2 linked regions of the Macaca mulatta genome follow. The protein of the gene in region 1 purifies or fractionates together with the protein of each later gene. This does not show direct contact. Links are inferred from orthologs where the notes say so. Each region holds a gene or a part of one and is shown on either strand. Other genes may lie near its edges. The genes, in order: CECR2 and SMARCA1.

What was found.
Region 2: the proteins of CECR2 (region 1) and SMARCA1 purify together in Homo sapiens (affinity purification with mass spectrometry; 3 studies listed by BioGRID and IntAct, with this or other methods). This does not show direct contact. The link is inferred for Macaca mulatta from reciprocal best matches to the Homo sapiens genes CECR2 and SMARCA1.

The regions. Positions count from the first base shown.
Region 1 is NC_133415.1:34,540,914-34,544,734, reverse strand, and holds part of CECR2 (chromatin remodeling regulator CECR2), read left to right. Parts: intron 1-687; coding exon 688-817; intron 818-2,130; coding exon 2,131-2,168; intron 2,169-2,254; coding exon 2,255-2,346; intron 2,347-2,605; coding exon 2,606-2,732; intron 2,733-3,812; coding exon 3,813-3,821. UniProt on the Homo sapiens protein: Regulatory subunit of the ATP-dependent CERF-1 and CERF-5 ISWI chromatin remodeling complexes, which form ordered nucleosome arrays on chromatin and facilitate access to DNA during DNA-templated processes such as DNA replication, transcription, and repair.
Region 2 is NC_133426.1:135,975,102-135,978,922, reverse strand, and holds part of SMARCA1 (SWI/SNF-related matrix-associated actin-dependent regulator of chromatin subfamily A member 1), read left to right. Parts: intron 1-1,146; coding exon 1,147-1,313; intron 1,314-1,654; coding exon 1,655-1,755; intron 1,756-1,861; coding exon 1,862-1,962; intron 1,963-3,821.

The sequences.
Region 1 (3,821 bases):
GAATGCCAAGTGTGCTGCTCATGGCTGTGGCTGGGAGCCAGGGAAAAAATCATCCCTGCCTTCCAGCTCCTTGCCAGTCCCAGCTGGCATCTTTCCCCTCTTCTCAGCCAAACTCCCACTGGTGGCAGGGCCTGCTGCTTGCTGTAGGCGTGGGGTGGGGAGCAGACCATTGCTTGCGTGGATGCCTTCATAAACACAGAACGTGAAGAGCTGGGGCGTGCATTTAAAATCCTGTGTGTGTGTGTGGACTGAGAGTCTGGTCCTAAAAAAGGATTTGCGGATGTTGCTTTTTTTAAGTAAAAGATCAGAATGGCCTCAAGTAATCCAAGAAGATAGTCCTCATTCAACCTTGTACTTTTTCCTTTTTCTTCAACTGCCATTGTGTTTTCTTCTGCCTTGCTCCCTTCCCTCCTGCCCACCCTGTGCCTGCCCTGTCACCTTCGTTCCCCACCTCAAGCTCAGTGTGAGTGAGGAAACAGGTTCAATTAGTTAGTTTACCCATGTCTGAAAGCATTCCATCTGTGGAAACATCCTGATTACCCAAGAGAGGGTGGCACAGGGAGCAGAAGTTGCTTCATAATCCTGCTTTGGTGGCCTGGTGTCTTCCTTCTCTCACAATGATGAAGGAACACGCCACGTCAGCGTCTGGAGCGTGCGCAGCTCGCTCAGCCTTTGTGTTCGTTGTAGATCGAGCGAAGAGGAGAAAGCTCAGGGAAGAAAGGGCATGGCTGCTGGCTCAAGGGAAGGAGCTCCCTCCAGAACTTTCCCATCTGGACCCCAATTCCCCCATGAGAGAGGAAAAAAAGACTAAAGACCTGTGAGTATTTAATAACAACAGCAACAGTAGCAACTGGTAGCATTTACGAAGCACTCAGGCACTTTCCCCGTGTCATCCTTAGAACAGCCCTGGTGGGTAACATTGTCACCATGTGCCAGTGCATGGGGCGGGCCCTGCACTCACAGCTGACCCCGGTGCCCTTCCTCAGGCACACACAGACATACCTGGCTACCCCGGCCTCTGACACTCTTGCTGCCACACTCTGTGGGAGCAGAAGTAAGACTTATGCTAAGCTCTTCTTTCCTCATCCCCTTAATTTAATGAAATCAGAATCTGATTATTATGTAAATGAGCTCCTTGGAAATGTGAATAGCAGTTTATCTGTTTGAGGTTATTACTTCCCGTGAGGTTACTAGGTACCATGTGACTTTACTGCTCACTGAAAATTCAAAAGGCAGGTACACATTCAGTGTTCTTGAGCTCATTCATCGTATGCTTTTTTGAATTAAAAGTAAAATAAAACCTGGTTAAGAATGTGCTATAGGCAGGGCTCACGCCTATAATCCCAGCACTTTGGGAAGGTGAGGCAGGCAGATCACCTGAAGTCAGGAGTTCGAGAGCAGCCCGGCCAATATGGTGAAACCCTGTCTCTAATAAAAATTTTGTTTGAAATTAGCCGGGCGTGGTGGCACATGCCTGTAATCCCAGCTGCTCAGGAGGCTGAGGGAGGAGAATCGCTTGAACCTAGGAGGCGGAGGTTGCAGTGAGCCGAAATCGTGCCACTGCACTCCAGCCTGGGTGACAGAGTCAGACTCTGTCTAAAAGAAGAAAAAAAAAAGATTGTGCTATAAAGCCTGGGCAACATGGTGAAACCTCACCTCTACCAAAAATACAAAAATTCCCCAGGCATGATAGCACACACCTGTAGTCCCAGCTATTCAGGAGGCTAAGATGAGAGGATTGCTGGAGCCCAGGAAATCGAGGCTGCCGTCAGCTGTGATCACGCCACTTCACTCCAGCCTAGGCGACAGAGCAAGATCCTGTCTCAAAATAAGTGAAGAAATAAAGAATGTGCAATTAAATAACCAACATTCTAGAACCATAAAGTTCTGGATCATCTAGCAACCCCCCATTTTATAGATGAGGGAAGTGAAATTCCCGGTTTTGCTAAGGTCCACTGTCCCTCATTTTGTATTTCTAGGAGCGTTATCAGTATCACAGGCTCATCTAAACCACACTATTAGGACTATTCCAAATCTTACTTCAGTCAGGTGTGTCTGCGATAGACCTGAGAGGGCTCAGGAGAGAAGGTGGTCAGAGTTACTATTAATTTCTTATTTTATGATTTACAGCTTTGAGTTGGACGATGATTTCACTGCTATGTATAAAGGTTAGTTCCCATTCTCCACTGTTCCGTTTGTGATGGACATTTTCCTCTGTGCGTGTGTTAATTAAGATCTCTTCTCTGGCTCTCAGTTCTAGACGTGGTAAAGGCTCACAAGGATTCCTGGCCCTTTTTGGAACCTGTGGATGAATCTTATGCCCCTAACTATTATCAGATTATTAAGGTAGAAGTTGTGTTTGCAGTAATGCCTACTATAGTCTGTGTATCTTTCTTGGGTTTTGTCATTTGTTTCTTGTTTCATGTATATATTTTTGATGTATTTTTCTTTTCAACTGTTGAAAGTTCATGTCATGTTTCTCGTTTTATCTGTTATTCGTTACAGAGCAGCATTGCTGAATCCTCATTCTCTCTCCGTCTCTCTCTCTATGAAACGTTTTGCTCTCAGCATACTTTAACTATAAAGAGTTATGTGTCTCATTTAGGCCCCCATGGATATTTCCAGCATGGAGAAGAAACTGAATGGAGGTTTATACTGTACCAAGGAGGAATTTGTAAATGACATGAAGACCATGTTCAGGAATTGTCGAAAGTATAATGGGGAAAGTAGTGGTAAGCGGGGAAGGAGTTTGCACTAGATACATATCTGTAATCAAGAATAAAATGCCTTCTCTTTTATAAATACACGCCCTAGTGACTTTTCTGTAGGACAGTGAGCAGAATGTGTATGAAAAATCATGGGATTGACCATTCTAGCCGCTTACCACAGTATCTGCCAGGGACTCTCCTGGCCCGCAGGACAAGAGAGTGCAGCTGGCGCCTAACTGGCTCATCCTGGAGACCAGTCTGGTTCTGGCTAATACTGTGTGTGCCTCTTTAACCACTAGATAGAGCTGACTCTTCAACCATCTGGAGAAGCTGGCGTAGTAGATCTGTAATATCAAAGTAGAAATGGCTCCTCCTACTTTGGGTCATTTATGCATTAACTCAAAATGCCCTGCTTAAAAACAGCAGATTCAGCCATTTTTTATTTAGTATTTCTGCAGTTTAGCCTTAAAGAATTAAATTTTTACTGGCTTTTTTTTTTTTTTTTTTTTTTTTACTTACTTTGAGACAGGATTTCGCTCTGTCACCCAAGCTGCAGTGCAGTAGCGCAGACATGGCTCACTGCAGCCTCAAATTCTTGGGCTCAAGGGATCCTCCTCCCTCAGTCCCAAGTGGCTGGGACTATGGGCAAGCACCACCACACCTGGCTAATGTTTTCTTTTTGGTAGGGACGGACATCTCGCATTCTTGCCCGGTCTGGTCTTGGAACTCCTGGGCTCAAGTGATCCTCCTGCCTTGGCCTCCCAAAATGCTGGAATCACAGGCATAAGTTACTGTGCTCAGCCTGGTTTGATTTAATAGTCCTAGAGGCCCTGTCCCAACCATACAGCCTTGGGCATCTTAGGATAGAAACCATGTCTTCTTCATCTTGCATCCATAGCTCTGCAATATAATGTGCCCTAAAGGTGAATTAAACTCATAGTTTACCCAGGTTGCATCTTTTATTTGTTAGAATTGTCTTTTGTGACATATAGTAGGTCAGTTTCTATAAACTATAGTTTCTTTAAACAGTTTCTGTAAACTATAGTTTCTATAAACAGTTTCTATAAACTATACCTAGAAGTCAATCCTCCTGTCTTCCTATAGAGTATACCA
Region 2 (3,821 bases), on another chromosome or scaffold:
GTTGTTGATAGCTATTTTATAAGACTTTATGTTTAAGGCCACATCTAATGTAGGTAGGCAATGTTTTAACAACTCTAAAAATAACATTCCAGTGAGGATAACATAAAATGGAAAGTTTTTGGCCTCCTTCCAGCTCATGGTCTGAATTTATCTAACTCTTATATTTATGTTAATGAACTCTTCTGTAAGTTTTCTGGGTTATTAATTATGCATCCTTCATTAGCAATCAACTATTCTTTACTCTGTGGTTGGAAAGCGACTTTGAATAAATAAATAGTCTATTTTTTCCTTTATCTAGAATGATGTATATGTCTTTTGATCTTTTAAGATTTTTTAGTGAAACAAAGTTTTATTGCCTGTATATGGTACATGTTCCCTGACCTTTTACAATGTATTGAGAAATTAGAATACATATCAACTTTTAATAGTTAATATATATTAACTATTTCACATATATGTGTGTGTGTTTATATATTTTTCCCAAATTCTGCTTACTTTGGGGAGAAAGTTTATATGCTACTAGCATAAAATACAGTTTTCTAGATCCCTGTGAGTGAAGAGAGGACTGTTTGTTACATTACTATACCATGACATTGAAAATATTTTGAGACAAGATGATACTGTATTTTAAGATTTAAGTTATTTCTGGATACAACTTGAAAATTCTTAAGAGTTCAGTTTATGGTATATATATATAATAGTTAATTTATATTTCAATATTTGGGATATGTTACATATTTGATGCTTAATTTTGTTACTATTTTATTTAATAAAATAATGTTTTGGAAAGAGATTTGCTTTATGATTATGACTCTTTAAGAAGGATATTTGTTACTGGGGAATTTACTGTCTGTCAGATCATTTTTCTTCCCTTCAAACTATTTGAAAATACATTTTCAAATTCTGCTATTTATTAGCTGTGCAAGGTTGGGCAAATTACTTACCCTCTCTGTGCTTCAGTAGCATGTAGTTACAGTGGAGATGATACCTGTAACTACGTCATAGGTTTCTTAAGATAATTGAGTGGATTAGTATGTTTAAAGTGCTAAGAGTGTTGTACAAAGTAAATGCAATGCAAGTATTCGTTAAATGACTTTGAAGGAATGAAAAGCAAAGTCCTTACTTTTCTTTTGTTTTGCAAATTAGAAAGCCGACCGAGCAAAGAGATTTGAATTTTTACTGAAGCAGACAGAACTTTTTGCACATTTCATTCAGCCTTCAGCACAGAAATCTCCAACATCTCCACTGAACATGAAATTGGGACGTCCTCGAATAAAGAAAGATGAAAAGCAGAGCTTAATTTCTGCTGGAGAGTATGTTGGCACCTCTCTCTCTATTTTCTTTCCTTTCTCCTGCCTTTTCTTCCTCCTGTCCTCCCTGATCCCTTCATGCACCCCTTCCCTCTTTATTGTTCAGTATACCTTCATGTGACAAAAAATAAGGGTATTGCCATTATAATTATGTTTTGAAGACACCTATATTTTTTTCTCACTAGAGGCTGATCAGTAAAAATGTAGGCTGGTTCTACCGATTTCTAAGCAATACCTTGGACAACTCATTCTTTTTCTGTAAAAGATAATAGCCATGTACACTGATTTAATTGATACCTTAGCATTTGGGTCGAATATGAAGGGATTTCCTTTTTTAATTTCAGCTACCGCCACAGGCGCACAGAGCAAGAAGAAGATGAAGAGCTACTGTCGGAGAGTCGGAAAACATCTAATGTGTGTATTAGATTTGAGGTATCACCTTCATGTAAGTACTTCATCACATTGGTGAGTTCTTTTTCAATTTAGTTTTAGAAAAATTTTACTTGAGTATATTAATGAAAGTATGAAACGTCCTTGCATTTTTTCCCCAGATGTGAAAGGGGGGCCACTGAGAGATTATCAGATTCGAGGACTGAATTGGTTGATATCTTTATATGAAAATGGAGTCAATGGCATTTTGGCTGATGAAATGGTAAGGAATCGGTAGCTAAAACCACATTCTCAGTTATCAATGATTTTTATGTAAATTTGAAAAACCTGAGCTTACCTGCCCCCGCTCCCCGATGCCTGGAGGCTTTTTTAAAGTTGTTACCATGTAAAAGGTATTTTGTAGCCTTAGAATTATTATTATTTTTTTGAGAGAGGGTTTCTCTGTGTTGTCCAGGCTTGAGTGCAGTGGTGCAATCTCGGCTCACTGCATCCTCGACTTCCTGGGTTCAAGCGCTCCTCCTGCCTCAGCCTCCTGAGAAGCTGCGACTCCAGGCACGTGCCCACCACACTGGGCTAATTTTTATTTTTATTTTTAGTAGAGACAGGTCTCGCCATGTCAACCAGACTGATTTTGAACTCCTGGGCTCAAGCAGTCCTCCCACCTCGACTTCCCAAAGTGTTAGGATTACAGGTGTGAGCCACAGCACCTGGCTAGAATTGTTTTGTTAAGTAACCGCTAGAACACAGACTTTCACAGGCCATAAAACTCTGCTTTCCTCAAGTGGTCCAAAAACCTTCCCTGTACTTTTGTTTTTGTTTGCAGTTTGGCTTCCAGGAAGCACAGAGTGAAGATGGATGCCCAAATGATGCCTTTATGTAACTTTTTAAAAAAAATTTTTTTGAGATGGAGTCTTGCTCTGTCACCCAGACTAGAGTGCAGTGGCACGATCTCAGCTCACTGCAGCCTCCACCTCCCGGGTTCAAGCAGTTCTCTGTCTCAGCCTCCTGAGTAGCTGGGATTACAGGCACCTGCCACCACATCCGGCTAACTTTTTTTGTATTTTTAGTAGAGATGGGGTTTCACCATTTTGGCCAGGCTGGTCTTGAACTCCTGACCTCGTGATCCACCCGCCTCGGCCTCCCAAAGTGCTGGGATTACAGGTGTGAACCACCCCCACCCTGACTTTATGTAACCTTTAATGGTCTGCCCCATGTGTCCTTCTGTCTTTTCCTATTCTTTATCTACTTGTCTTTCTTACTTTCCTTGTCGTCTCTTTATTTCTATTTTGCCATCAATTTATGTTCCATGTTTTGATTGTAGGCTACCTGAAATCCTTTTGGGAATAAGGCGGGGTATACAAACCAAGCAATACATAAATGACTGACTGAATATATGCATGTGTGAATGAATATCAATATTTTGACTTGTGAACAATCAAAAAGTGCATAGGTGGAATAAGGAACGAATAAAGAGTAATGCTGAATCTTGATACAGTACAGTGCATGGTGGGGCTTTGGAAATCAGTGAAGGAGTTATAAATGTGTAATAAAATAACCGAACAGGAAAAAGTAAGGCACGTAAGATGCTAATTCATCAGCTAAAAGGGGAATATATGAAGGCCTATATTTGTATTTGAAGACCAAATTAATAAAATGGGATTTAAGAGAGGGCAGGGAAAGTTCTAAATCCATATAACTCAATAATATTCGTATTTATGTGACTCTGAAACCATACTTGTGACCACTATTATCCAGAAGAGCCACATGATGATATGTGCCCTATGGCGTCTAGTATAGTTAGTAGTCAGTTGCATAAGTACTCATCCCTGGTTGAGCAACTGTTGGGTGTGTGGCAGAGGATCCCTTAAAGCAAGGGTCTGTAGCTCCTTATATTTAGGTATTCTGATTTGAAGACTATTGTCAGTTCAGAGGGGGAGGAGCTTGGTAAGTTGGACAATGGAAGGACCAGGATTATTTGCCCCAAGCAGCTCTTGGCTGCAGCCTGTCTAAACATGAAGGATCTGGTCTTTAGTGATGTATTTATGCTACCAGATATATATAATATATGATATATAAAATATATAAAAAATATATATCTAGTATCAGCATAAATATATATTA